Sus scrofa: one gene and its partners. The protein of the gene in region 2 interacts with the protein of the main gene of each other region in a biochemical or structural test. Links are inferred from orthologs where the notes say so. Each region holds a gene or a part of one and is shown on either strand. Other genes may lie near its edges. The genes, in order: MAPK8, MAP3K1 and MAP2K4.

The links.
Region 1: of the proteins of MAP3K1 (region 2) and MAPK8, one has a biochemical effect on the other in vitro, tested with the Homo sapiens proteins (3 studies listed by BioGRID, with this or other methods). The link is inferred for Sus scrofa from reciprocal best matches to the Homo sapiens genes MAP3K1 and MAPK8.
Region 3: of the proteins of MAP3K1 (region 2) and MAP2K4, one has a biochemical effect on the other in vitro, tested with the Homo sapiens proteins (7 studies listed by BioGRID and IntAct, with this or other methods). The link is inferred for Sus scrofa from reciprocal best matches to the Homo sapiens genes MAP3K1 and MAP2K4.

Annotation. Positions count from the first base shown.
Region 1 is NC_010456.5:88,985,234-88,995,805, reverse strand, and holds the start of MAPK8 (mitogen-activated protein kinase 8), read right to left. Parts: upstream 6,893-10,572; 5' UTR 6,714-6,892; intron 1-6,713. UniProt on the Homo sapiens protein: Serine/threonine-protein kinase involved in various processes such as cell proliferation, differentiation, migration, transformation and programmed cell death.
Region 2 is NC_010458.4:35,923,612-35,933,639, forward strand, and holds part of MAP3K1 (mitogen-activated protein kinase kinase kinase 1), read left to right. Parts: intron 1-2,600; coding exon 2,601-2,722; intron 2,723-3,297; coding exon 3,298-3,379; intron 3,380-3,485; coding exon 3,486-3,669; intron 3,670-5,779; coding exon 5,780-6,058; intron 6,059-9,133; coding exon 9,134-9,255; intron 9,256-10,028. UniProt on the Homo sapiens protein: Component of a protein kinase signal transduction cascade. Activates the ERK and JNK kinase pathways by phosphorylation of MAP2K1 and MAP2K4. May phosphorylate the MAPK8/JNK1 kinase.
Region 3 is NC_010454.4:56,397,484-56,408,143, forward strand, and holds the start of MAP2K4 (dual specificity mitogen-activated protein kinase kinase 4), read left to right. Parts: upstream 1-4,545; 5' UTR 4,546-4,601; coding exon 4,602-4,719; intron 4,720-10,660. UniProt on the Homo sapiens protein: Dual specificity protein kinase which acts as an essential component of the MAP kinase signal transduction pathway. Essential component of the stress-activated protein kinase/c-Jun N-terminal kinase (SAP/JNK) signaling pathway.

The DNA of each region.
Region 1 (10,572 bases), on a different chromosome or scaffold from region 2:
TACTTATTTTGATATCCTGCTGTTCTAAAATGGATGTGAGGTGACTATAAGGTTTCCCTTTTCTTCTGATTTACATTTTACCTAACATGTACCACACTCAGCTTTAACCAGATATTAGAAGATATCTTGCTTTTTTGGCTTATTTCATGAGTATATTTTATTTTATTTTTTGCTTTTTAGGCTGCACTTGCAGCATATTGAAGATCCCAGGCTTAAGGGTTGAATCAGACTTGCAGCTTCTGGCCCAAACCACAGCAATGCAAAGCCTCGTCTGCAACCTACTCCACAGCCCACGGCAGTGCCAGATCCCTAACCCACTGAGCAAGGCCAGGGATGGAACAGCATCATCATGGATACCAGTCAGGTTCATTACCACTGAGCCACAATAGGAACTCCCATCTAGTGAGTATATTTTAAAAGGTGGGGCTAAAGATGTATGGTTCATTAGTTCCCAAATGCCCCAACATCCAGCTCTCAGACCCGATGACTAAAGAAATTCCCAATGAGGAGTTCCTGTTTTGGGTCAGCAGGCTGTGAACTCAACTAGTATCCATGAGGATGTGGGTTCAATCCATGGCCTCACTCAGTGGGTTAAGGATCCGGCATTGCCACGAGCTGTGGTGGTTGTCCCAGACAAGGCTCGGATCTGGTGTTGCTGTGGTTGTGATGTAGGTCGGCAGCTGCAGCTGCAATTAAACCCCTAGCCTGGGAACTTCCATATGCTACAGGTGTGGCCCTAAAAAAGCAAAAACAAAAAAACAGAAAAGGAATAAAGAAAAAGAAAAAGAAAAAAGAAATTCCCAATGAAATGCCTAACAACACTTGGTTTTTGTATTTGGACATAAATTCACACGTTTGTTATAATCTCCCATTCAGCTATACTCATTGAAAAGAGAAAATGACTTCTACTTCCTGTAACCCCCAACATCACTAAAATGGCTTCTCAATGAATACTGCCTGCGCAAAACCATAGTTTTGTTGTCCTCAGGAAGGAGCAAGAAATTTAATATATCAATATAAGCACAGAAACACTTCATAGAAAACTTAGAAAAACATAGAAAAAGAAGAGAGAGTTTCCAGATGCTACCTAATAACCTCTACAAAATGCTTAATGAACTGTTGTGCTTACCTGGTCTCTAACAAATTTGCAATTTTCACAGCGTCAAAGACCACAATAAGATTAAATTTAAAAGACGTGACAGGATTCCATTTTCTTAAAAAGTGGGTAATGATAAAGCTGTTTTCAGCTCCTAGATTTCCATTCCTTTAGCTACCATCAAAATAAACCTAGGAAAGCTTAGGCAATTCTCTGCAGTAGGAAAGATAAAAGGGGCAAAAAAAACTTTGTGTCAGAATATGTGGCAAATGTTCCCTTTAATGTTTGCTTTTGGAACATTTCCAAACTTTTAAGGCAGAGAGAATTACTGGTCTAAATGATAAATCATTTCAATCAACTCATATTAGATGAAATAATCAAATTTTAAATAATCCCTCAGAGATGCAGAGGTGGGGAAAATGGGTGTATTCTGATTCTAAATTTACTTGGCATTTTGCATCTGTTCCAAGTTAAAAATAGTAAGTGATAACAACAGCTAAAATTTCCTTAATACCTGCATCTAGCATTCCAGGTACTGCACATGCAGTTAAACCTCACAGGCCTCTGAGATTATGCATTAAATTCCACCCTTGATCATGAGGTTCCTGAAGCTAATAAACTCTTCACTTTCACATTTTCTCATATGACAGAAAATAAAACAGGTCCAAAGGAGTTCCTGCTGTGGCAGAGTGGGTTAAGAATCCACTGCAGCTGCTCAGGTTGCTAGAGAGGTGCAGGTTCAATCCCCTGCCCAGTGCAGTTGAATTAAAGGATGCGGTGTTGCAGCTGTGGTATAGGTCGCAGATGCAGCTTTGATTCAATCCCTGGCCCAGGAACTGCCCTGGGGGTGGCCATTAAAAAAAAAAAAACAAAAAAACAAAAAAAACAAACAAAAAAAAGGCCTAAAGATGTTATGTAACCTGAACTAGCCTATACCACATAGTTAGATTTGCAGCAGCCACTGTTAAGTCTGGGTACCTTAACTTTCCAAAGAGCTGGCATATTTTAGCCAAACCTGATGCACTACCAAAGGGTAATGGGAGATGGAGACATATATTTGTGATATAACCTGCCACCCTGAAAAAGAACGGCAGTATTCTAAAACTCCTTATATATAATTTTAAAAATTGGATTTCAATGAAATTTGGCCTGCCCAGAGGTTTAGGGTAGGCTTTTGTTCATTTGGAGGGAATCCCTCTCACAATCTTTAATAGAACAAAAAAGCACTGTTTAGGTATGCATTAAATTCCACCCTTGATCATGAGGTTCCTGAAGCTAATAAACTCTTCATTTTCATATTTTCCACGAAGTCTGAAAGCACAGTCTTGTTAGTAAGCATGGTGCTGTGGAATGAATAAAAATCTACTAACCAAAGAACTCCTTCCTTATAATGAAGCTTTTTATTTGACTTATAAGTATAGTCATCACAAAAAAAAAAAAAATTTAGGGCCTCACCCACGGCATATGGAGGTTCCCAGGTTAGGGGTCCAATCAGAGCTGCAGCCACCGGCCTACACCTCAGCTCACGGCAACGGCGGATCCTTAACCCACTGAGCAAGGCCAAGGACTGAACCTGCGTCCTCATGGATACTGGTCAGGTTCGTTAACCACTGAGCCACTATGGGAACTCCATCACAGAAAATATCTGATGCAACAATTTTCTCTGCTTCTGTAGATTACAAAAATCTAACTTTCACCCAAGAAGGACTCCTTTTGTCCTAGTATGTTTTCTGAAGAACCATCTATCTGGGGAACAACTTTTCTATTTAAAAAGAAGAAAAATTCCAACAGTGTCAGTTTATAGTTCTAACCAAAAAGGTACGCTGCCTGCCTACACCTCTATAACTTGCTGATGACAAGGTCCAGATGACAGAACTAAAAAATGAACCTAGGTCTGATTCCTAGACAGGTCTACTTCCACCTATGACCCTGAATGATAGAACAGCTTATTTTAATACTCCTGTCACCTGTTACGTAGTAAAGTTTGTTGACTCATTTCTGAAATCAAAGTTCAAATAATCTGCCTTAAAGCAAGAAGAAAAAGCTACTAAATGTTCATGGAAAGAGCTCATGACTAAGACAATAAGCATCACAGCTCAGAGAGACAAATGATTTACATCTAAAGCTATGTGGCTTTGATGACTTCCCTGCTCTACATGAATCAGAGAGACTACCATCCATACTACTGACTTGATCAGAGACCTCTAGAGAGCTGGCATCTTAAAATCAGACATTGTTTTATATACATATGCAACAAAGCATCTCAACTATTTAAATGACACAAATATGTCTCAAAACTCAACTCAATGACAAAGCAAGACATTAAGAATCAGGCTTCTATTCAACAACCTCTTAATTGGCACTAGGATAGTTTGTGACTAGTCACTTAATAAATTACTTCAAGTAGTTTTGGTGAGCACTGAGTATAAACACAGGTTATTTCCACAATATTAGGCACTCAGCAAACAAAAATTTAAAGATTAGGAGCTCCTTGGTGGCTCAGTGGATTAAGGATCCAGCATTGCCACTGCTTGTGGCTCTGGTTACAGCTGTGGCTTGGGTTCAGTCACTGGCCGAGGAACTTCCACATGGCATGGGCACAGAAATAACTAACTAAATTAATAAATAACAAAATTTAAGTACCTAATTTCATTAATTTTGGTAAATTTGTTCTTAAACGAATTTCCCTTTCAAGTGGCCTTTCTCACAGGATTTAAAGTAATATGAAGGGGAGTTCCCGTCGTGGCGCAGTGGTTAACGAATCCGACTAGGAACCATGAGGTTGCGGGTTCGATCCCTGCCCTTGCTCAGTGGGTTAACGATCCGGCGTTGCCGTGAGCTGTGGTGTAGGTTGCAGACGCGGCTCGGATCCCGAGTTGCTGTGCCTCTGGCGTAGGCCGGTGGCTACAGCTCCGATTCGACCCCTAGCCTGGGAACCTCCATGTGCCGCGGGAGCGGCCCAAGAAATAGCAACAATAACAACAACAACAACAACAACAACAAAAAATAAATAAAGTAATATGAAGGATAAAGTTTCCCACTCTGCCAGGATACTTAGAAGGAGTCCTTTTCAAATTCATTAATGCATACACTTACTAAAACAAAATCAGTGCTATCTCTTCCTTTAAAAATAAGGTAAAGTTGAACAGGGAGTGGCTACTGATGGGTGTGGGGTTTCTTCTTGGAGGTAATGAAATGTCCTGGAATTAGAGGTGATCAATGCATAATTTTGTGAATACATTTAAAAACCATTGAAGCACACTCTAAAAGGATAAATTTATGGCATGTGAATAATATCTTGAAAAAGCTGTTATTCTTTAAAACCAACAGAGTTTAGAAAACAAAGCAAAAACACTTTGGGTTTGTCACCTAAAGCCTGACCAGAGGATTTGTATCAGTAACCCTTACTGGAATTTAACATACTTTAACTAGGTAAAGCAATAAAAGTTTAGTATCTCAAGATTTTCATCCCTATCTTAATAAAGTATCACTTTATTTCTTTATTTGCACTCTTAAGCTCACCTCAAATTCTTTCATATCCAAAATAAGTGCTAAAACATATTAAGTAGGGAGAAGAAAAGACATGTACTGTGGATAAATATTATTTTGAGTTTTAGACCCATATGCCTAATACTATTAGTCCAAAACATTTCTAACAAACTTTAATAAAATGTAATTAGATATTAAGGATTTCTAATAAAACTTTTATGCCATTTGTTTCTTTTGGTCTAACTTTTCCACTTAAAGGAGTATCGAGAAACATTTCAAGTAATATTCACAAAAGGATAAATAATCATTTTAGAGGCTTACTGAAATATCACTGAAATATACATATCACATACACAGACACACAGAGTAAAAAATATTTTAGCAAGATTTAAGTTTAGGATAGTTCAGAAGTAATAAGGAAAAAAAATTGATACTGAAGTGATTCAAAAACCCTTACTGTTGTGACAGACAATATATATACGAACTGATCATTTAGCCATCTGGATGTGACCCGTTTGCATGAGGCTTCCAAAACTTTACGAAGAACATTAAATGCTTTTTGTTAAGGCTTGAGTTTCAATATTATCAATTGTAAAGAGCTTTTCAGTGATCTGAGTTTTATTTAACACTTACTATATTCCAGGCTAGGTGTTGGAGACACAGATCCAAGACAGGCCTGTCCTGAAGGAAGTCCCATTCTGACTGCTTGGTTATGTCAGGTACAGCACTAAACATGTTCACTCACAGCATCTAACCTCCTAGGCTTAACCCACAGCAGAGGATTCTGAAGTAAACATTACACATGACTGTAAAGAAATACATGAAAGCTGTACATTTAGACCAAATATAACTCTACTTCCTAATACATTTAAGGTTACGCCTAACATTCCAGATGTACTACCAAAACAGTAAAATGACCCAGAATATAGCTATACCTTCTTTAACACACATTACTTACATAATTTCATTTAAATCTCATTTAAAGGTACATCCATTCAAAGTATCTTCTTCCATTAAAGGATATTTGTCTTTACCCTCAAACTCTCCATCTGGGTAGAGTACTGAACAGTTGTTGAATGAATGAATGAATGAATGAATGAAATAAACAGATGTTCTAATTACCAAGGGGGTACTTGCTGGATGCTTATCTTAAAACACAATGGACTGACAGACCAGAATTCTTCGGGAAAGATCACTGAATTTCAGAGGTAAAAATAGTAAGCAATTGACATTGTCTGATAACGTGCAGTCAACATGTTATTAAGTCCACAGTAAACACATGATAGGAAACTTTCAGAAATTAAAATGAAAATAAAACACTTTTGTGTTCATCACGGTACCTTGAAATAGACCCGGTTCTACGACCTAAGGATTGTGAACAGAAGTGCAAGACAAAGAGAAGGGAGGGTGGGGTGAAAAAGTCAAAAGGTCACCACCGAGTGACCCTCATGAGAAATGCGCGCTGACCACTGAAGCTCGCGCCGAGCCTGACGGGCACCTCCCGCCCAAGCCACCGGCCCGGGCTCTCCCTCGCAGCCCTGCTGAAGGCCACCTCAGTCTTTCTGCGCCGCCGCCTGCGTTCGCCCACAACATAAGCACAAAGAAACCACCGAGAAACAAAACACTGTTCCCGTGGGCTCCGGGCAGGCGTCGGGTCCCGGCCACCGGAACGCTTTCCCCGGCTCTCCACTGCCGGGGAAGGCAGCCAGGGCGCGGCGGGCCGCCTAGGCGCCTCCGTTCCGACCTTCGCCGAAGTATTTCAGAACTTGCCACCAACCTCCCGTTTCATTTATCCCTCCATACGCGGACGCCGGACCCGCGCTAGGAGAACGCCTGAGGACCGACGGGCGGAGCTGGAGAGGCAGGCGGGGGGCGAGTGGGGGGCAGGCGGGGCGCGCCAGGGTCCCGCAGCCTCACGCCCCCAGGGCGGCCCCCGCCTATCCCGCAGCTATTGTTCCCGCGCCACCCACGCGGGCCGCGCGCCCCCCGCCCGCCGCGAGCTCCCGCCCCCACTCCCGGGAGGGGGTCACGGCTGAAGAGAGGCGGCGGCGGTGGCGGCGGCGGCGGCACAATAACATAAACACCGCGGGGCCGCCGGCTCTGGCCCTCAAGCTCTCACCACACTCACCTGGCAGCGCAGCGAACGGCAACAGAAAACCTAGGCGGTGGAGACTGGCGCCGTCCCGGCGGTCGCCGCGGCCGTTACCCAGCGCTGCTCGCGGCTCCGCGCTCCGGGCAGCGTCGTCCGGCCTCGGCCGCTCAGCTGAGTAACAGAGACGCTGCCCGTCACGGCGCACGCCCGCCCACGTCATCGCGCAGGGCCCCGCCCCCGCGCTTCGCGAACGGGCCGCGGGGCGGGGCAGCCCCGGGGCCCGGATTGCGGGGGCGGGGCCCGCATCCGGGGGAGGGGCTACTCTAGGGGGCCGGGAGGACTTGCGGAGGTCGCCGGGAGGCGGAGCTGCGGGGAGAGCCTCTGAATGCGGACTGTGAGGGGCGTGGCGGGAAGCTGGATGGGGCGGGGCCCTGATCCTGGCACGTGGCGGCATATGGCCCGAGAGCCTAGTATGTGTACCTGGGCAGTACGCTATTCCTAGGCAAAGCCTCTGGGGTTCTTTGCCTCAGGGTTTGAAGGTCAGTGCGCTTAGGCCAGACCCGCCCAGGGAGCAGGCACCCCGGCCTGGTCAAGCATCTGAGTGACGGAGGGCTCTTTACCTTGACTGACAGTACGTCCCATTCTGAGGACATCTACTCCAGGCCTAACAACCCACGAGCAAATATTCTCTTCAGCCACCTGGAAAAAGCTGCCTCCTGTTTTCCCCAGATCCACTTCCTACAAGATTCCATGCATTGCCCTATTTGTCTTTGGGCCCCTCAAAGCATGTATATGTTTGTTGTAGAAGTGATAAATTGGCAAGTCCTTAAATATCTGACCAGTGGAAAGATGTCTATATTACATGCATGTTTGCAAAAGAACACATTTTAGCAATTTAAATGCCGTGTGTTCAAGGGATTCTTAACCACACAGGAGAATGTTCATCATACTTCATTAAGAGAAAGAATCAAGCCTATGTATATTATATATATAGATAGTTAGATGATGATCCTGCTTATATACTGTGTATAAAAGGAAAAAACTGGAAACATGACAACTTATTTTAACAGTAATTCATCATTGAGCTGTAAATTGATTCTCCTTGTACTTTGAGTATTTTTCCATGGTTTCCAAGTTATGTTCATAATCAGAAAAAAGTATATTATTTTAATAATGAAAAATACATATTTCGGGGTTTTTTTGGGGGGATCTTTTTTTAGGGCCACACCCATGGCATATGGAGGTTCCCAAGCTAGGGGTCTAATCAGAGCTGTAGCTGCCAGCCTACACCACAGCTCACGGCAACACCAAATCCTTAATCCCCTGAGTGAGGCCAGGAATCGAACCTGCATCCTCATGGATACTAGTTGGGTTCAATAACCACTGAGCTAGGATGGGAACTCCAGATATTTGTTGAAGAAATGAATGAAGTCATGTAGATTATTTTCCATGTTATGTTGGGCTGGCCTATTTCCAGTGATTCTGAAATGAAGCATTAATGTGCATGTTCATTTATTCATTTTCTCCCCAATTCCTCCCTCCCTCTCAGGGCTTCTTTATTTCCTTCCTTTGTTTCTTAAAGAAATACATACTACATACCCATTCTGTGCCCGGTACTGTGCTAACATTGGCAATAGGATGGAGCTTATAGACTTATATTACAATAGAAATAACAGTAAACAAATACAAAATGATCACTGCATCATAATACAAATTTATATGCATATATAGAATTATGGGACAAACTGATAGAGTTAATAAAGCCAGGAAAGTCTTCCTTGAGGACCTGCCTCTTGAACTAAGAATAGATTCAACTAGACAGAAAATATTTTAGACAGAGGTAAAAACTGAGGAAAGCCAGGTGCTGGTGGAAGAGCAAGGAAGAAGGAGCTATGAGATGAAGTTTGGAAGGGTGGAAAAGGACCAATTCTAGTACAGCCATACTACCTATGCTGAAACTCTTGTCTTTATCCTAAGTGCAATGGGAAGCTCCTGACATGCTTCAGCAAAGGGGATGGCATGGTCAGAATGGCATCTTAAAAGGATTCCTTGTTGGAAGGAGGCCAGTTAGATATAGGAGTAGTCTAGATAACGGACGGCAGAGGCTTGGTCTAGGGTGATAGTCGTGGAAACAGTAAGAGTAAGGATCTGAAGACATTTTAGGAGATCCAATACACAGAACTTGCTGATGGATTAGGTGGGCAGTGAAGGAAAGGTAGTCATCAAGGAAAATCATAGATTTCTTGCTTGTGGCCAAAGATGAATGCAATATTGATTCACTGAGATGCGAATCTTGGAAGAGGACAGGGATTGAATGGAAAGGTTGTGAGAGCAGCTAGTTTGAAGGCTTTTGATCTGCCCCAAAGAGATACCAAGTTAGCAGCTGGGTATCCAGAGCTGGAATCAGGTGAATAAGATATGAGTCACTTATGAATCACAAGATAGTGGTGACTTGAATCCTTGGGTGTGGATGAGTTAGCCTAGGCCCGAAGGATGGGGGGCAGTGAGCAAGATGAAAATAGGGCCGAGAGCCAGATTTGAGGAACTTCAGTACTGAATGGCTAAGAAAAAAAAAAATGAGCTGAGAAGGAACTGCCAGGAGGTAGAAGGAAAACTAGGAGAGAGAGATTCAAGAAGAAAGGAGTGATCAATAATATCAAATATGAGAGGAGGCTTAAAATCCTGGAGTACTTATTTTCGGAAGCAGTTTAGAGTAGGCTAAGAATGAATGGGAGACTTAATATGGAGATGTTGGATATTGATGAGTCAGTCTGTAAAGCAAGACACAAGCATGGTTTACATCTAATAGGGAGACTGTTGAGAGGGAGAAGTAGAATAGAAGAAAAAAGCATGTGTAAGTTTTCCTAGAAGAGTAAGAGTAGAGATTGTGTGACTGTATACACAGGTGGAAGTATTGGCAGGTACCTCCTACTCCCACTAGATAATATTAAGACTTGGAGCTAACAAGACAGTATAATCAGAGCAGTTGTGAAGTGAGGGGGATTGCAGAAGAGAGCTCCCAAATTTCAGGCCTAGTTCTATAACAACATTAATAGTCTTACTTTCAAAAGCCTTGCTTTCTTCCTACAGGAATAGCTTCTGATTTAGCATCAGCCTACCACTGTCAGCTTCTAATTACCTACATCTAGAAAGGACATCCTGCATGTTTACATATGTATACATGCATGTGTGTGATTTCAGAAAGCATTTTATAGGTTTTGATTGAATATCATCGTCTCTGATATTCTGTAAATTTATTTTTTTATTTATTTTGTCTTTTTGCCTTTTCTAGGGCCGCTCCCGCGGCATATGGAGGTTCCTAGGTTAGGGGTCGAATTGGAGCTGTAGCCACTGGCCTATGCCACAGCCACAGCAATGCAGGATCCGAGCCGCGTCTCTGACCTACACCACAGCTCACGGCAATGCCAGATCCTTAACCCACTGAGCAAGGCCAGGGATTGCACCCACAACCTCAGTCTTAGTCGGATTCGGTAACCACTGTGCCACAATGGGAACTCCAGATATTCTGTAAATTTAAATTCCATTTTATAACCCAGACACAGCTCTGGGCCTCCTTCTTCCTTCTCAGGGAATTTTTTGTTATTAACTTATTATTGTTCCTTGTAAGCCAATTGGAGGTTGAATCAGAAAAAGAGGCAGACCTGAGGAATTTTTTCATTATTGGGTTTTTTCCCTAATGTACTACTCCTACCTGCCACAGCTTAGATATGCTGATGCTAAATTGCCCTCTCTCCATTCATATCCAGGTATTGAAGATATTCAATAGTTATCCCCTGGAGAAAAAGACAAAGGGAACTGAGTAGGAAGGAAAGAATATGTCGTTGAAGTCCTGTAACAATAAAGAAAATCCTTGCTGTTGTTTTAAATAAATACA
Region 2 (10,028 bases):
AAACTAATTCAATGTTGTAAATCAACTATACTTCAATTTAAAATAATCTCTTAATATCATTGTACGTGTATGTAGATAAATGGTCTGAATAATGTTTATAAAATATGTACTTGGAAAAAAGATAGGCAGAAAATACCCCAGAAAGGAATTTTTTTCAGTTAGAGAACCATTTAATATGTTGCACTTGAATTTGAGTAAATCGTGGAACTTCATTTTTCATATATTTAACTCTTGAACAAGCTAGTTTTGGTGTCGTTACTTGAAAAATTAGTTGATCTTGGATCATCTTTGCCATTAATATTTTTATTACAGATTGTTGTAATAAATCATTTCTGCAGTGTTTCCATTAATTTTTTCATTAATATATGCATATTTTAACAGTTTTTCCCCACTCCTTGTAGCTCCCTAATTATGAGATAAATGGGACAGATAACTGGGAGGAAGAGAGACCAGTAAGCATACTTCACTGCAGGAGTCACGCATTGTGACGCTGAAGACATGCTTGTTCAGCTTTTAGGAAAGTTTTTTGGGGAACTGTTCTTTGCTGTCAATCACTCAGACCTGTTTTTCAGGAATTATAGCTTTAGATAGTAGCAGTGTAATATTGAGCCCAGGGGAAAACTGAGCTTAGTAGAGACTCTGGAATTTATAGGGGTAAGTAAGTATGGGATATTCTTCTCAAAGCCCAGTGATAAATCTGCTACAAACTGTTCTGTGATTTTGGGCAACTTATTTATAATAACTCAGAATCTTGTCTTTATGTTGTAATGGAAATACTGATTTTAAAAGCCACTCATCACATCCTGAAGGTTCAAACAAAAATTTGTAAATAGAAATAAAACCTTGCCCTTCATTCTGGGCTGCACACAAAATAACTTGTTAATAGTTTAATACATCTTTTAAAAATTAGGAGTTATCTTGTGGTGCAGCGGGTTAAGGATCTGTTATTGTCACTGCAGTGCCTTGGGTCACTGCTGTGGCACAGGTTGTCCCTGGCCCAGGAACTCCCACATGCTGCAGGTGCCCCCTCCCAAATTATAAAAAGCAAGGAATTTAAAAACTCTTCTCTGTACTCTGTGCTTATGCAGATTCACACACACACCAATACTACTCTCATCTTTCTTATTTTTAAATAAATATAAAACTATATATTTTAATCTGCAACTTTTTTTTTAAATTTAAAAAATGTTTTTACTTTATATATCAAGAAAATTTTCCTCAATACAAAAATATACACTACTTTCTTTTAGTAGCTGGCTACATAAGACTGAATGGATGAGACACAATATATTTTACCATTGCCATAATTAATGGACATTTAGTAACACTTTTGATTTTTTGTTTGCCTGTTAAATGCAAAAAATTTTCTTTTTTGTTTACACACAAAATACTTCTGTAAGACAGCATCCTAGAAAATAGGTTTTTTTTTAGGTCATGGGTATATACATTTAGTACTTGAAGAAATACTAGCAAATTCCTTTCCAAAAATTTCAGGTTTTTTATTCCTACCAGTAATATATATGAGAACCTGTTTTCCTGTGCCATTATCAACCTATTTAATTTGTGTGGGTCAGATTATCCTCCACCAACCCAGAAAAAAAGACAAATAAAATAAGATAGAGCTTTATTAATTTAACATGTATTTTGTACTTTTTCCAAATTTATTGGCTACTGGTATTTTTCATTTATCTTCTTTTCTCATTTTACTGTTAATATTTTTTTTACCAATTTTAAATCCACTTCGTATAATAGGAATAGTCAAATATATATAATTCAAATATACATAATAAAGTTATAATTTTGCCATAAATGGAATCATTCTAAAAAAGCTAGAATTCTGTCATGTTATCTGTTGTTTTTCACCATACAGCATACTATGGATATTTTTCTTTGTCATCATGCATGGATCTCTTTGATCCTTTTCAGAGACTTCATAGTGTCTTGGTGTACCATTTTTTTAAAACACTTTTTGATGTTCACTTGGTTGATTTTTTTTCCAATATGCCAAATAATACTGCAGTGAACATTCACACAAATATATCTTTATTATTTGTGTCCATTCCCTTATGATATATTCCTTGAAGGCTAGTTGAAAGGTTATATGCATTAAAAATGTGATATATTTGTTTCTAGGAAAGTTGGATCAGTTTATAAACCTACCAAAAGTGTCTGATATGGGTCTTAATACTTAAGGATGTGGAATAGATGAGCTCTGTGGTTCTTCCAATACTTGAAATCTTGAAACTGTTGGCATATAGTATGCTTGTACATAGTTAAACCTTATTAGCAGTTTGTTTATTCAAAAGGTCCAATAACAGAATTTTGGGGACACATATTTCTCTTAAGATTGTAGTTCATATATTGAATTATAGTCATAGCAAGAAAAGGTTAAACCATACCCACAACCTGTAAATTCATAATGGTGTGAATCTGATTCAGAATTACTGTGTATTAACAGGAGAAATACTTCTCTTATAACCTATACAAGAATTTTAAATTATTTTTCATAGTCCAAAGAAACCAAAATTGTTTTTAGCAATATGGCATTAATTCTCTTACATTCTTTTGTGGATAATGCTTTTGTTTCCTCTTCCTTATAGTATAAAAGATGAAGAGGAACAGATGTGTCCTATTTGCTTGTTGGGTATGCTTGATGAAGAAAGTCTTACAGTGTGTGAAGATGGCTGCAGGAACAAGCTGCACCACCACTGCATGTCAATCTGTATGTGGCTTTTTTTTCCCTATGCTTATTCAACACAGTTACTCTGTGAGCTAACTATGATTCAGGACTTGAACATAGCCTCTGGGGAGACTAGCGAGAGAAGGAAAGAAGTATATTTACGCTATATGTGAAGTTTTCAATGAACAGTAGTTCAGGATCTCTTAGGAGATGAACTATGTGAGCAAAGAAATGTTAGAAAGTGTGACACGTGTGGTAGTGGAAGTCACTCACAGAATTAGAGTTGTGATCTGGAAGGTGCACATTGGGGGAAGGAGGTGTAGGAAGGCCTGGACAGGCGTTCCAGAAAAGGTAACATCAAAGCAAGCTCTGGAATAGCATTACCAGTTTATCAAGTGGGCAGAATGTTTTGAAAGAGAGTCCATAAAATACATCTTATATAACTTAAAAAATAGCATTTGCAGAAATTACGAGCATTAGAATAACCTGCTATGTTTAGAATTTTTTGAGGTTCCTTCCATATAAATTCTAGATTAACCATTATGAACAATTATTACATAAATACTTAATGTTAAATATTTATATTTTTGTCAGTGTTTTTTTCCTTAATTTTTCAGGGGCAGAAGAATGTAGAAGAAATAGAGAACCTTTAATATGCCCCCTTTGTAGGTCTAAGTGGAGATCCCATGATTTTTACAGGTAAAAATTATGAATTAATGATTTGGGTATGTTTAATAAAAATGCTCTCAGAGTGTTATTTAAATCCGTTAATTTTTTTAGCAAGCTTTGTTAATTTTTCATTTAGCCATGAGTTGTCAAGCCCTGTGGATTCCCCTTCTTCCCTGCGAGCTGCACAGCAGCAAACCACACAGCAGCATCCCTTAGCTGGATCACAACGAAGGAATCAGGAGAGCAATTTTAACCTTACTCATTATGGAACTCAGCAGATCCCTCCTGCTTATAAAGATTTAGCTGAGCCATGGATTCAGGTAAGTAGTTCTTATTCTTCAGTTCTCCATGAAACATTTATAGACCAATTAATGTAGTTGTCTCCCCAGTTGTTTATAATTTAAGAAAGTACTTTTGCTTATCTCCATCATGACTCATTTCATTGAGAATTTTCATTTTACCTTTGGTGTTAATACTATGCCACTTACAGAGTTAAACTTCAAAAATTCTTTGTAGTCTTACCTCCCATCTCTAGAAACATCTTCCTGAACTGACAGACATAAACATTTACCCAAGGATAGAGGATCCATTTAATAGTAACTTGTCCCAGTGTTTAATCCCATTCCTTCCAAGAATTTCTGTCATTTTCTTATTTGCTTCCATTTAAAGTCAGTTTCTTCTTTCTGTATTTTTCATGGTATATGTTAGGTACTAAAAAATTGTTAAATGGATGAGTAAGAAAAAATATGTGGTATTTGCCTTGTATTAGTCATTTTTATTTGTAAGGACAGTTTCCATTCCTTTACTTTCTCTTCTGCTTAAATGCTTTTTCATCCTCAGTAAGTCAGAATTTCGGTTGGTTGGTTGGATTCTAATGATGTTTTTTGTTGTTGTCTGATTAGTCCATTTTTTTTTTTTAATGTAGAATCCAAAACCAGACAATATCTCCAGTAGATAAATAGTGAGGTAAAATATTTTCAATAATCTGGTAAATTCTGTTTAATAATTAAACTTGTAAACAGATACAATAATTTAAGCTTATATATCAGTAGGATTTATTTCCTTTTTCTTTTTGTGACCATTTATAGTCCTGCAGTTTTTGAATCCTCTTTTCTCAGCATTTTAACAACCTAATATGAATGTAGCAAAATTTGCAAACTTAATAAATATATCTCATTTATTTTTACCTAGTTCATTAATGGTTTTTAATGTAGGCCCTCACCTGCCCCTTCATGAATCCTCAAGAAAACTGTCCTGTTGATATTGAGCTATTGGATGCCCATTTTTTCAAAACAGTGGCCTAGTTTGTTTTGCTTAAGCTCTAGGTTGGACTAGGCTATATGCTCCTAATTTTTTAAATAAGAATATCATATTAGACATATGCATATAATAAATCCACTATATTTTAATTGATTTATTCTCCTTTATTATCACTTTAGTATCACATTATCAAAGAACACATAAAAATGTCATGATTTATTTTCCCCAAATTTCTGCTTATTCATCTCTAACATTTAGAAAGTTTTCATATGATGCGTTATCTTAGTTAACTGTACCTTTAGCTCTGGTCCATAATGTCAAGACAATGCACCTGTTCTTTTCTTTAAGGACTCTTTGGCTTTGCAGATATGATAATGATAGCTATAATGACATGCACTTTAATTATAAATATTTCATTATCCTTTGCTGATTTAAACACAGTATTTTTCTTTAGTCTTTTGATTTTCCACTGCATTTATTATATATGATATATATATTTATGTCCACACCTTTGGCATATGGAAGTTCCCATGCCAGGGACTAAATCCGAGCCACAGCTGTGACCTGCACTCAATCCTTTAACCCACTGTGCTGGGCCAGGGATTGAACCTGCACCTTACAGCAACCCAAGCTTCTACAGTTGGACTCTTAACCCACTGTGCCACAGCAGGAACTCATCATATTTTTTTCTAATTAATCAAATAAGAACCTTTGACTTAGCACTGTCATTGATAGGAGAAATACTCTGTATCTTGAACGTCAGCCCCAGTGCCTTTCTTGTCTTGGCTTTGTTTGTTTTTTGTTAATCTTGCTTCAGTTTTTTTCTCTGTAAAATACCTTAACACAAATACAGATTTAAGGTTCTTCACCGATTTATTTTGTTTTGTGGCAAGCGCAAGAGTACAGAAATGCATATAAATCCATCTAATTGCCTAATGGTGTCCACTCTTAATTTTACTTGAGCTAATATATGTTAAGGGCTTTTGATAATTACCAGTTAAACTTCAGTATAAAATTCCTCCTTATGGACATGTTTTTAAATTGTAGAGTGTGGTGAAGATTTAAGAAATGACCAATTTTCTTTTAGTAATCACAAATCATGCTTAATGCAAAACACTCTAGGTTCATTGCTTTTTCTTCACATTGACCATTTTGTTTGTTTGATTATAGGTATTTGGAATGGAACTCGTTGGCTGCTTATTTTCTAGAAACTGGAATGTAAGAGAGATGGCTCTCAGGCGTCTTTCCCACGATGTTAGTGGGGCTCTGCTATTGGCAAATGGGGAGAGCACTGGACATTCTGGGAGCAACGGTGGAAGCAGTCCGAGTGCTGGAGCCACTAGTGGGTCTTCCCAGACCAGTATCTCAGGAGATGTGGTGGAGGCGTGCTGCAACATTTTGTCAATGGTCTGTGCTGACCCTGTCTACAAAGTGTACGTTGCTGCTTTAGTAAGTAGCTTTATTCTATAACCATAGCATTATGGGTTTGTTTAGGGGGGTTTTGTGTGTGACAGTTTGCATTTATCATTTTTAAGATTCAGCAAAACTACTTTACCTGATTGAATTCTGGAAAATTCAAATTTAGTTTTTATCCATAGTCCCGGAAAATTCAGTTTTCTAATTAATCTGTTCATTTGGATGTCACTTTTCTTTATACTATTTACTTTTCTCCCCTAAAGTAGCTGTTCATATCTTTACATTTGCCTTACCTAATACATGACCAAATCAAAAATATTTTATGGGATAGCAAGGTAATCAAAGTTACTTTGATTTTTTTTTTAATTTGATATTAATAGACATGAAGAACAACTGATTTTCAATAAACATTGGTGTATGGAAATTCAGAAGCCTTTTCACAGAAGAGAGGATTCCATGACATAGATTACTGAGTTTTTCTGTTTTAATCTGTTAGAAGTTATCTTTCATGAGTAGGATGGAATGACAAGGCAGCTGTTGTTTGTAATTTTGGAGGCTAATTTGATTTTCTTCATTATGAGTGTGTGTATATATATACATACATATATATATATATATCTTTAGAAGAGGGTTTCTCAGCCTCTGTACTTACTGACATTGAGAAAGATAATTATTTCTTGTAAGCAGTACTGTCTCATGCATTGTAGGATGTTTAGCAGCATTCCCAGTCTCTACCCACTAGATATCCCCTCCCCTTAGTCATGACAGCCAGCATTGTTTCCAGGCATTGCTGACTGTACCTTGAGGGTCAAAACTGCCCCCCAGTTCAGAACAGCTGCTTTAGAATAATTCTTATCTAGTCTGTTTTTAAAACTCACTCATCTCTTTGCTTCCACTCGTAATCTTTTTCTAATCCATCCTATAATAACTATGAGAGATAGTTTAATGTGGTTGTGAACATTAGTTTGGAGTCAGAATTGAGTGACTTCATAATTTATCATCCCAGCTGGGATATTTGAATAATATGCTAATTAAACTGGGACTGGTCTAGGCAATTGGGATGTATGGTCAAGATCATAGACACCTTGATTCAAATTCCGGTTCTCCAGTTTGCTAGAAGTATAACTTTTAGGACTCTTAAACTTTAGCTTTCTCTCCTATAAAATAATGGAAGTATTTATCCTTTAGGTCTGAGATGAGACTGAGTAGAAACCTTTAACCATAACATCTAGTACACTGTAAGAACACTGACTATGGTAGCTGTCATTATTCCTTAAATGCCACTTTATTCTCCAGCCCAGAAACCTTTAGAGGTTTCTTTTTCTTTAGCAACATTTCCTAAAACATATTCTGTGAAGATTTGACTGAATTATATAAAGTCCCTGAAGGACTTCTATGTTCAGTTAAAATTGATGAGCACTGAATTACATGAGGTTAAATGGGTCTGTTCACTGAAAGCTTTCTAGGAACTTCCAGTGATTTCACATACATTGGGAATCTAATCATGGGGTAAGATTAATTATTTCCCAAATTGATCTTACCATGATCTGTTTTTCATGTAGCGTCTTAAGGGACCAGCATACCAGCACACTTTACAATAAAGACCAGGGTTCTTGGCTCAGCCTTTTACCTCTTTCATCTTAACTGTTTTTGAATGCAAACCTTGACTGCTCAGTATACTGTCTTACTATTTGGTTTATTATTATTGTTATTATTCCCAATGAGTGTGTGAGCTCATGGAGTACAGGGACTCTGTGAATGATGCTGTATTCTGATTCCTCTACACTTATTTAGTGTGATAGGCATGGTGGAGGCAGAAATGGTTCCGGTCCTTAGAGCTCTCCCTTCCCTTTCTCCCCTCCCTCTTGCCTTCTTTGTCTTCCTCCTTCTCCCTCACCATATATAATTTTTTCCTGAACCATTTGAAAATTATGTTCAGGCATCATGACGTTTCCCTTTGAATACTTTAGCTTTTGTCTCTTAAGAACAAATACATTCTTATGTATAACCACGGTGCAGTCAGCATACTCAGGAAACTCGGCATTAAAAACATTACTGTTATGTACATATTAAATGTTAAGTCCATATTCACATGTCCCCAATTGTCCCAACTGTGTCCTTTACAATTAACCTGCAGACCTTAATCAATTTCATCAGTTTTTCCATTAGTGTCTTTTTTCTCTTTTGGGATCCAGTCCAGGGTCTTACCTTGCGTTTAGTTGTCATGCCCCCTCAATCTCTTCCCTTCTGTGACAGTCCCTCAATCTTTTTCTTTTGTAGACTTTGACATATCTTTGAAGTATACTGGCCAGTTATTCTGAACAGTTTCCCTCAATTTGGGTTTATCTGATATTTTCTCATTATTAGATTATATATGCAACTTTTTTTTTTTTTTTTTTTGGTAAGAACACCAGAGGTGATGTGACCTTCTCAGTGAATTGTTATCAGGGGTACATCGTGTCAGTCTAATTATTGGTGATGCCATCCTTCATCACTTGATTAAGGTGATGTCGTGGGCGAGTTACTTTAAGACTGTACAGATATCCTGTTTCTATTCACAGATTTTATTAGCATTTGTCAGTGGATCATGCCCACAGCAATGATTACTATGGTGTTCTAATGGTGATCTATTTCCTGTGTTCCTTCAGTATTAATTAATTGGAATTCTTCCATAAAGAACAGCTGTCTCTTCTCCCCCATTCATATATTTATTCAGTTTTTTATTTCCATCACCATAGACTCATAAGTACTTATTTTATTCTATGAGTTATAATTCAGTATTATGACGTATTTTGTAGTTCACATTACTCTAGCTTTGGCCATTGGGAACTTTTTCAAGTTTGCTCCTTTTCTTTTTAAAATAACTTGCATTTTGAAATTAATTCAGACTTTCAAAAATAACGGAAATAGTTGAGAGTTCCTTTCTACCTTATCTATTTACTTATTCAATTTTTTATTTGTATTGGTTATCAACTCATAGAGTCTTATTTACAGGTAATAATCTATTCCTGTTGTTATTTTGTTTCTCTAGTTGTCTCAGATTAGGCCATTGTCTCTGATGCTTTTTAAATATAGTTAAACTAACCTTCTGTTTCCTCCCCCCACCAGAAAACGTTGAGAGCCATGTTAGTATATACTCCTTGCCATAGTTTGGCAGAAAGAATCAAGCTGCAGAGACTTCTCCGGCCAGTTGTAGACACCATCCTTGTCAAGTGTGCAGATGCCAATAGGTAAGGCCTTATCAGTGAGCTGCTTCAAACCCTCTTGTCTTAAAAACATAGCATGGAGCCTCACACCTAGTGAATATTTGATCCATACTTATTAAATGAAGCTTTAAATATTGCTTTCTAATATTAGATTTGAAATTAACATGTAATAGTTAAAGGTCTTAATGACTAGGAGGAAGAACTAATGGCAAGGAAAAACCATGCTAACACACTGCATGGACCTCCACATTATTGTGCTATGATTGGTTCTCTTTTATTTTTTATTTTTTTTTGGTCTTTTGTTGTTGTTGTTATTGTTGTTGTTGTTGCTATTTCTTGGGCCGCTCCTGCGGCATATGGAGGTTCCCAGGCTAGGGGTTGAATTGGAGCTGTAGCCACTGGCTTACGCCAGAGCCACAGCAACGCGGGATCCGAGCCGCGTCTGCAACCTACACCACAGCTCACGGCAACGCTGGATTGTTAACCCACTGAACAAGGGCAGGGACCGAACCCGCAACCTCATGGTTCCTAGTCGGATTCATTAACCACTGCGCCACAACGGGAACTCCAGTTCTCTTTTATTTTAAAGTAATATTCTTAAACTGAAGTCCAGTTGATAAGAACAATAGCTGATATGTATGTGTATATATATAAAGTGTAATCTCATTTTAGAGAGTTACATGGGATAGGAACCAATAAAATGATTATACATGCTTTGCATTATCAGGACTGAAAAAAAAAACAAACCCCAACTCGGTTCCATTATTTTGTGATGGAACTTTATTCTAATTATAGTT
Region 3 (10,660 bases), on a different chromosome or scaffold from region 2:
ATCTTACTCTGTTATTCGTGTCCTCTCCAGTGGGAAGGAAAAGTCATTACGTGGCAGAGCCAAGAACTTCAGGTCTACGTAGGGACTTTCTCAAGGAGCTCTTATACATGTGAAATTGCTGGTTATTGAAATATATTGCCTTCTTGCCTCTTCCTCTCCCCAAGGATTATGCTAGTATTAAATTACCCAAAAAGCTGTACTTCTTTTAAGCAAGTTGTTATTGAGAACCAGGTATTGGTTTGTTATGGCTGCAATAACTAAGACCCCAGACTGGGGCTTAACCTATAGAAATGTATGTTCTCACGGTCCCGGAGGCTGGAGGTCCAGATCAAGGCGTTGGCAGGGTTGCTTTATTCTGAAGCTTCTCTCGTCTTCTACCTGTGTCTTCACACTGTCTTCTCTCTGTGTGCCTCTGTGTCCTATTCTCTCCTTTTTTTTTTTTTTGGCCGCACCCACAGCATGGGGATGGTCCTGGACCAGGGAACGAAACTGTGTCACAGCAGTAACCCGAGCCACTGCAGTGACAACTCCAGATGATCCCCGACCCACAGTGCCACAAGAGAACCCCCTCTCAGTCTTATGACAAACTCAGCATTAGGCATTATTCAGCAAAAAACCTAATTAGTTAGATATCACTCTTTTTGTCTGAAAACCTGCTTTATTTCTGCTTTCTTCAAATACTTTTTGTCACATTTTAAAGTTTTTTGTAATTAAAAATTTTTTATTGAAGTATAGTTGATTTACAATGTTTTGGTTTCTGGTATATAGCAAAGTGACTCAGATATATGTATGTGTATACATATATGTATGTACATATGCATATATATCTTTTCATCTTTTCTATTATGATTCATTACAGGATATTAAATATAGTTCTTTGTGCTCTACAGTAGGACCTTGTTGTTTATTGTTTCATATATAATAGTTTGTATCTGCTAATCCCAAAATCTTAATTTATCCCTCCCCCACCCTTTTCCCCTTTGGTAACCATAGGTTTGTTTTCTATGTCTGTGAGTCTGTTTCTGTTTTGTTTTTCTTTTTGGTTTGTGTGTGTGTGTGTGTGTGTGTGTGTGTGTGTGTGTGTGTTGTTCATGCCCTGTGGAGCTGCCTGGGTCAGGGATCCCACACCACAGCAGTGATAATGCCAGGTCTTTACCCCATGGAGCCACTGGGGAACTCCTGTTTCTGTTTTGGGAATAAGTCCATTTGTATCATATTTTAGATTCTACAATATGTTACTCTTTTAATTCAGCTTTCCTGAATGAATTTCCTAGGTTGAATGTTTTTCTTTAGGCTTATTTGTTACCTATATTTTTCTCTTTCAAGTTCATTTAACTGTATCAAGTCATTGTTTTTCTTATTTGATTCGACTTTTTTTTGTCACTCAAAATATAATTTTTTTTCTTTTTATCATTTTTTTATTAAAGTATAGTCGATTTACAATGTTGTGCCAATGTTTGCTGTACAGCAAAGTGACCAAACTCTTTTTGAACAATCTTCAATGTATTGGAAAACTATATGGTTTAAAACGTTTTTTTTTTTCTAGAGTAGTTGCCTAATATCTAGTATTTCTTCTAGGATTTCCATTAAATGATAGGTTTCTACTAATGAAATATGTATAATTGGAGAAGGGGGCTAGTGGCACTTTACATAAGACTGTGAGGATATCATTTGTCCACCTCAAAGAATGGGGGAGAGATTCTCCTAGTACTTATGGGGGTGGGCAGACTCAAAGTCTGCAGAGTCATTTCTTGCTACCACTCTAAAACCAAGGAACTGGAAGTCAGAAATGAAATGACATACACCCACAGTGACATTTAAACAACTACAATTAGTTGCAAAACCTACTGGCAGGTCCCAGACCAAAGTGTCAGAAAATTACTCAAATAGAACTATTTGGTGTCTGGTAATCCTGCATCTGGAGCCTGATGATGACATTTGGTTTGTTTGGCAGAAAATTGTGGGGCTATGGATGTCTTTTCCCAGTATGCTAAAGTGGCCAAGCCAATGGAAATGCAGAACAATTGCTTGGGGTGGGGGTGGGGTCGCTATTATTTTGCATCAATCTTTGCTAATTGTTGGCAAGTCGTGTTGATGTTTTGAGAGAAGAATTTCATTTTTTTTTTTTTTTTGGTCTTTTTGACTTTTCTTGAGCCGCTCCCACGGCATATGGAGGTTCCCAGGCTAGGGGTTGAATCAGAGCTGTAGCCACAGACCTACACCAGAGCCACAGCAACCGGGATCCGAGCCATGTCTGCAACCCACACCACAGCTCACGGCCATGCCAGATCCTTAACCCACTGAGCTAGGCCAGGGATCAAACCTGCAACCTCATCGTTCCTAGTTGGATTTGTTAACCACTGAGCCACGACGGGAACTCCGAGAATTTCATTTGATTTTTGATGCAAACCCTCCAGGCACTGAAATATAAACCTCATGGAGTTCCCCTCGTGGCTCAGTGGTTAACGAATCCGACTAGGAACCATGAGGTTTTGGGTTTGATCCCTGGCCTCGCTCAGTGGGTTGAGGATCTGGCATGGCCGTGAGCTGTGGTGTGGGTCGCAGACGTGGCTTGGGTCCCAGGCTGCTGTGGCTGTGGTGTAGGCTGCAACTACAGCTCTGATTAGATCCCTAGCCTGGGAACCTCCATATGCTGCGGGTGCGGGCCCCAGAAAAGACAAAAAAAGAAAAGAAAAGAAAAGAAAAGAAAGAAAGAAAAGAAAAGAAAGAAATATAAACCCTGGACAAAAGCCATCCTTCAATCTATACCTCAAAAGAAGAGAATTTAGGGAGCCATAGATCCCTTTTCCCTGGCATTTGTCGTTTCTCTTCCCCTCAGCACCAAGCCCAAGATGTAGAGGGGGTATTTAGCTTGTACTCTGAGCTCAACAGCCTGGATGGGATACTTTCCTTGCAGGTTCTGATAATATTTCCTTTCTGAAGACCTCACACTTAGGATACCCCAGGACCGACGAGCAAAGTGGGATATTGATTCCCAGATGGGAATTTGGCAACGCTTATAATGACCTGAAGTTAGAGATATCACGCCATCAGCCAGGTCTTCAGAGGTGGGTTCTGGCCAGTTGGGAAGTGAGGCCCTCCACTTAAGTAGAGCTCTCTGCTCTCCCCTTCCATTTGCCTTCACTGCCTGCTGGGTTTACATTCCCTAAGCCCTCCCTCCAGCCACTGTTAGGATCTGAAGGGTCAAGATAATGGTCGAGGCTGGGTTTGGAGGAAGAAGGCAGGGTTCTCTTGAAGGTCACATTTCCAACCTGCTACGAGGAAGTTCCAGCACAGATAAGGTCTGGGTGGGAAGTGTCCTGGTACAGATTTCGTAATGCTTCTGAAGGGCAGGAACCTCCCACTCCATGGTTTTAGACGACTCAGCATGGGCATTCTACATGTAGGTAAGACTGCCCAGAGACTCACATCTTACCTCTCCAATTATATGTCTGTTTGTCCACAAAGCCCCACCTCACAGAGAACTTTTTTTTTTTTCCTTTTAGCTGCTGCCCTCCTAAAGTCAGTCTCTGTGCCAAGCCCTGAAAGAAACCTGATTTTGTTCTTTGAGGTTGTCATTTTATTCATATATAAATTATATAATTTATATGACTGCTCTTCTAAGGTATAGAGGAGGTGGGGGAGAGAATTCAGTGTGTATTTAGGGGAAGATGCTTATGTAGATAATATATTTTGGGAGGCTGAGGACTTGGGTGCCTAAGATCCTGTTTTTTGGGAGTTCCCATTGTGGCTCAGCAGAGACCAATCTGACTAGTATCCATGAGGACCCAAGCTTGATCCCTGGCCTTGCTCAGTGGGTTAAAGAATCCGGCATTGTGGTGAGCTGTGGTGTAGGTCGCAGATGCGGCTCGGATCTGGCGAGGCTGTGGCTGGCTAAAGCTCGGATTCTACCCCTAGCCTGGGTAGAGCCACAGGTGCAGCCCTAAAAAGACTTAAAAAAAAAAAATCCTGTTTTTCAGATTTAATGTGCATACAAATTATTACATAGATTCGTATTCCGTAGTCTTGAGATGGGTCCATTGACAGTGCTTTCAGTAGCATCCCTTAGGATCCCCAGGGCAGTGTGGAGAGATGGGGTGTTAGGTACGGCCTAAGAGGATGTGCAGCTAAAGCCCACGCCCCTCCCAAGCGCCACATCAGAGACCTGACAGCACACACGACCCCTGGGGTCCCTTTCAGTTTTACAATGGTTTTGGTTTCTAAGATTCCAACACCGGGCATCTTAAACTTTGGGGGTGACAGACCTCAGTAGGAACGATGCAAGCTATGTATCCTCTTATCCCCCAAATGCACGCAACCCCTCACTCGGCAAACCGCTTTAGGCCCCGCGTGGGGCCCGCAGCCCTGGCCCAGGACTTGTGCCGGCCTCCGTGGGCTTGGGCACCCACGACCTGGGCGGCTCTGCAGCGCGGCATCTGGTGCGGCTCCGCGTCAGGCGCGGGCGGAGGCGGGCCTGGGGCGTGGCGGGGGCGGGCCGGAGGCGGGGCCAGGCGGCGTCGGCCACGCCCCTCGGCCGTGCGAGAGGCCGAGCTTGCTGCATTGCAGCCGCCGCGGCGCCGCTCGGCTCCTCACTCCCAACAATGGCGGCTCCGAGCCCGAGCGGCGGCGGCGGCTCCGGGGGCGGCAGCAGCAGCAGCGGCACCCCGGGGCCCGTGGGGTCCCCGGCGCCCGGCCACCCGGCCGTCAGCAGCATGCAGGGTAAGGAAGGCGGCGGCGCCGAGACCCCGGCCGCCCGGCGCGGCCGTCGGCGTCGTCGCGGCCTGTCCCCGCGCCCGCGGACGCCCCCGGACCCGGCTGAGGAAGCCACCGGGGCCGCCCGCGCCGGCGCGCCTCCCTCCCTCCCGGCTTCCCGCCCCGGGCTCGGCCCGGCCCCGGGCGGCGGCCGGCGCAGGCTCGGGCCGCGGCCTCCGCCCGCGCTCGGCCCCGCGGCCCCGCGGGCTCCCGGCCGGCGGCGGGGCCCACCTGGCCCGGGCCCGCCCCCGCGGCCGCCCGGCTCGCGGCCGCCGCTTACCTGGCGCGCCCCGCCCGCGTTTCCGGGCGCGCGCCGGCCGGGCTGCGGCGGAGGCGCCCGGGCCTGGCCCGCGGTCCGGCCGCGCAGGTAGGCGGCGTCGGCGGCTTCGGGGGCCCGCGCCCCTCGGCCCGGCGCCCCGCCGCCTCCGCCGCCGCAGCGGGGCCCGCTCAGGGCCATCTTGGTTCCCTGCGGGCGCCGCCGGGCCCGGCCGCCCAGCTGCCCTCCGGGCTCCGCGGTCCTGGTGGACCCTCGGTGCCCAAACTTCTGCGGGGCTTCTGCGCGCCGGCAGGGCCGGGGGTTGCCCGGGCCTGTGCCACCTGTAAGGTAATTAGACAGCCGGTGGCCTGCGAGAGGCGATTTGTTCCGGGCCAGGGATTTCTGTGCTGGCGTTGCATGCAGACAAAATAAATAAACAAGTGAGAAAAGGGGGAATTCGGTTTACAGGGAGAGCTCTGGGAAGTGGAAAGGCCGGGGTCAGAGGGGCTCTGTGCGGTGGCTGGACATCGGAAGCAGCGTCCTCATTAAGGACTTTTCCCCCGGGAATGCCCATTAGCTCTGCACGGCCCTTGACAAGGGGGTGTTGTGAAAATGCCAGGCCCCAACCCGTTTGCGAGCGTTTCCTTGAGTTTACTGGGGAATTTAGACGAGGAATGTTATTTTTGAATCAGGGAATCTCAGAAATCTCTTGGTCAGTTTTCGCAGACTGCTCGAATTATTAGCAGACTCCGTCGGAGCACCCTTCGTGGTCGGCGTGACCATGGTGACTCTTTGATTAAAAATTGCTGAAAGGGCTGCGAGGTCTTTTAACCGTGTGTCTAGTTAGGTTTGACGTTTATTGAGTATTTGGTGTTTAGGAGAGAGTGTGATTCAGGAAGCAGAGGCAGGATTTTATTCATTTTTATGTCCCTGTCGCCCTCCCCATGAGATAATTTAATATACATAAGGAATGGTGGTAGATATATAGACAGGGTGATGTCAGCCGCGAGGACACTTTCTGTGCAGGCCCTCTGATGATTAATTCGGATTGAATTAGTTACTGGATGTCAGCGTCTTGCACCATATACAGATGAAGTGCAGGATGGGTTTCCTGGTGTTCCAGCTTTGCAGTCTAGTTGGTGGCAGTGGTGAAATGAAACAGCAAAATGACAGGTTAGGATGGTATTGTATAGCCACAACGGGTGACTTAGAAAGCTTATGAGAATGCAAGGGTTTTGTTTTTTGGTTTGTTTTGCTCTTTTTTTTTTTTTTTTTTTTTTTGAGGAGGGTAAGGGAGGCTGATAGTTTGAAGAAGCTGCACAAATTAATTTTTGTTCCCAAATCATGTACTATGTATTGAGCATCTGCTCTAATGCCAGGCAAAGTATGCTAGTGCCAGGTATACAGAAAAGTGAGTTGAATGGTCTCCTTGCTGACGGAGCTTACTTCCCCGATAGGATGGGGGAGGGAAGACAATACGTAGATAATAAGAAATGTTACTCATTGAGAAAAGTGTTACAAAGGTGACAGGCTGGGTTTTGTGATAGGAAATAATAGGAGAGGGAGCAGTCTAATAAGATGGTCACAGAGGACCTGTCTGGAGAGATGACTCTCGCAATAAAGAAGGGAGTTCCAGGCAGAGCGAGCAGTGTGTGTGAAGCTTCCAAAGTGGGAAAGAGCTTGGAGTGTTCTGGGAACTCACAGTCGTTGTGGTCAGGAATTATTCTGATGCTCTCCATTCTCTTCCCCCAGCCCTGGGTGTGGAGACCCAGTCAGCTGAACTTTCTAATAAGCAGAACCCATTTTAAAGAGGAGAGGGAGGGCATGAGACTTCTCTTTGAATTATTGATGAATTTTCTTTTGTCAGTACTGTGTGTAGCCTTGACTGACGCAGGAACCTGTTAGTTCTATCTTCTTGGACCTCTCTCGATTGCTCGGAATGAAGAGAAACACTTGGAATTCTCAGGATGTTCTCTAGCACAGGCTACACAGCCAGAGCTTAAGCGGCGGTGGAAGATCTTTTTTAGTTTGTTTTGTGATGCTAGAGCCTAACCGCCCTTACTTACTTCATCTGCCAGACCTTTGGCTTTAGATCAGACTTCAGATGCTTAGAAGATGTTTGGTAAATGCCACCCCCCCAACCCTGACACTTGCCACCCCCAAATACTGTCTCTCCAGGAGCGCATGTCTCCAGCGTGGGACATCCAACAGACATGGGCGGGCGCTCTGCGTCATAAACACTGTGCTGGACACTGGATCACCCTGCGCGTCTTTTCATGGCTTGAGGTCCATGGCCCAAGAGTGGCCTCTGTGTTTGTTTGTTTTTTTTTTTTTTTTTTTTTTTTTTTTAATATCATGATGCTTGAGTTAAGGCAGAGCTCTGGAGCCCTGGATTTGAAACCCCCACCCCCACCAAACAGGACTTAAGATTTTTGTGACCTTGAACAAGATCCTTAACCTCTCCAAGCCTCAGTTTCTCAGTTGGAAAGTGGGAATAATGCTTACCTGAAGGGAACTTTAAGGATGTATAGAAAGTGTGGGCCTGACTGAGAGTAAGGATATGATTGATACTTGTTAACTGTAGTCACTCTTTTTTTTTTGTTTTGTCTTTTCTAGGGCCATACCCGCGGCATATGGAGGTTCCCAGGCTAGGGGTCTAATCAGAGCTGTTGTCGCCAGCCTATGCCAGAGCCACGGCAACATCAGATCCGAGCCGCATCTACACCCTGCACCACCGCTCACGGCCATGCCAGATCCTTAACCCATTGAGCGAGGTCAGGATGGAACCCCCAATCTCGTGGTTCCTAGTTGGATTCTTTAACCACTGAGTCAGGATGGGACCTCCCCCGTCTGTAGTCACTCTTAATAGCAACAGTATTCTTGTTTGTAAGGCTCTAGTTAATTGTGTTAGTAGCAGATGAGTAGCTAACACCTCATGACCTGTCACAGTTTCTTTAGCTGCATTATTATTGGGTCCTACCCTTTTCTTTAACCTATTTATTTCCATTTTTCATTATTGAGCATTTCTGTTCAGAATATTCTTGATGAGTCTGTATTCTACTTGGGTTCAGGTAACTTCTCTGCCATGTACAAACTCTATGACCTTGGGGAAATTACTTACCTTTTCTGAACTCATCTGTTAAAATAGGGATTATACTTACCTTCCAGGGCTGTTGTTGAGAATCACATTATTAGATTAAGGAACATGAAAGTGCCTTGAAAATTATAAAATACCTCCATATAAAGATTGCTATTAGATATGGTTATTTAAATGCTTTAGTTACTGGCCCCTTAAAATGTAGTAGATTAAAAAAGAAAAAACTCATAGGAGTTCGTATTGTGGCTCAGTGGCTTACGGACCCAGCTTGTGTCTGTGAGGATGCAGGTTTGATCCCTGGCCTTGCTGACTGGGTTAAGGATCCTGCCTTGCTGCAACCTGCAGTGCACGTCACAGGTGCACGTTACAAGTGTGGCATAGATCCAGTGTTGCTGTGGCTGTGGTGTGGGCCTTGGCTGCAGCTGCAATTTGACCCCTGGCCTGGGAACTTCTATATGCCACATTTGCGGTTGTAAAAAGGAAAAGATACCTCATAAACATAAGTTAAATTTATTATAGACTAAAGTAGGGAAGAAGAAAACTTTTCATTAAATTTTATTGGGTGTCTCAGAAAGGTCAGTTTTTTAAAAGTGATTAGAATAGTAAGAATCTATAATTGATTCTGAAAAACACGGAGGAATTGGTAAAGTACTAGTTACAGGAAATAGTTATATGTTGTAAGTGCCTCAGATTCTCTTCATGTGCTGATCTAGGCAGTTTTTCTTTCTTTCTTTCTTTTTTTTTTTCATTTTCAGTCTCAAATATAGATGTATAAAAGAAAACTTGGAGTTCCTGTCATGTCTCAGCAGAATCTGACTAGTATCCATAAGAATGCAGGTTCGATCCCTGGTTTCGCCCAGTGGGTTAAGGATCTGGTGTTGCCATGAGCTGTCCTGTAGGTCGCAGATGCGGCTCAGATCCCGAGTTGCTCTGGCTGTGGTGTAGGCCAGCAGCTGTAGCTCCGATTCGACCCGTAGCCTGGGAACTTCCATATGCTGTGAGTGTGGCCCTAAAAAAAGACCAAAAAAAAAAAAAGAAAAAGAAAAAAGAAAACTTATGGACTAGTTCAGTCTTTATCCATTTACCCTCAGCAGAACATTTTATAAATATCAATTTAAAAAGATGCAGCTTGATTCTACTTTGTAAAAATATACAAAGTAATGTACAACGTAGCGACTGTAGTTACTAACACTGTAATGCATATTTGAAAGTTGCTGAGAGAGTAGATCTTAAAAATTCTCACCACAAGAAAAAAATTATTTGCTATGTGTGGTGATAGTTGTTAACTAATTGTGTGACAGTCATTTCACGATATGTACAAATAGCAAATCAAGTTGTACACTTGAAACTAATGTATGTCAATTATACCTCCATTCACAAAATAAAAAATGCATACACAACTTTCAAGTGCAATGAAACATATCTGTTAAGAAAAATGAAAATTTAAACTCATTATACTTTTTTTCCAACATTATTTGCATATACAGTGTATGGAATGCCTTGTTTGACTATGTTTTTACCATTTTAGTCTGGTTTTCAAGAACTGTAGGAGGGTATCTTCATTCTAGTTTAAAGAACTGAATTGGGTGGACAATGGGTATAGTTTCAAACCCTAGAATTGCTTTCCATTCTCATGTGTTGTATACTATTTCTTTCACCATTTATTTGGCATGACCTGATAAATAAAATCCAGCTCAGGAAATTGGTCCCCCCTCAAAGCACATATTGCATTTCTCTATGTTCCCATAAAAAGAAGAGCAACCTTAGTATTAAAATTTAAAGAGTAGAAGAACATACTATTTCAGGATACTCGTTTTCTCACACTTCCTGCAGTGTCCTTTATCAGAGCGAATGCGCGCTGAAACTTGTTTAAGATGGGATGTTAGTGAACTCTGTGTGTTGAGTCATATTTCTTTTGTTGTAATTTTTCTCTTTTTTCTATTCCATTTCTGTTACCTAATTTGAGAAGCTGGATTGGTTTGGACCCATAGAGATTTTCTTATTTTTTGGACCCCTAGCCTGGAAACATCCATATGCGGCAGGTGTGGCCCTGAAAAAGACAAAAAGACAAAAATAAATTCATCAATTAATTAGGTAATTTGCCCTAGCTGAAGTGGGTTTTAATCCCCCTGTGTGGCAGGTGGCCTTTGCCCTTCTTACTCTACTGCACAGGTTCACACGGCTTCTCCGAGCTCCCCTCTCAGCCATTCAGGTCTGAGAGAAGGATCTTTGCCAGAAGTGATGCAGATCCAGGAATAGAAGGACGAGATGATTTTAGGTTTCAGTCAGGGGGCGGAAGCTGTAAGCATCCAGCATGTTTGGGTTGCTTTTGGCGTCTCAGTGCTTTCCGATGCGTCTTTATGTTGCACACGTCTTTCTGCACTTGCTTGGGAGGAGCGGGTTACCCTGGCATTTGAATTTGAGGGCATTTTGTTTGGGAATCTGCAAATAAGTAGAAAACTCTAATTAGATGTTGGCGCAGGAGGCCAGTATAGATTTGAAAGGTGATGAACTCCTTCCAGGCCATATATGATACAGAAAAAGGCACCCGCTTA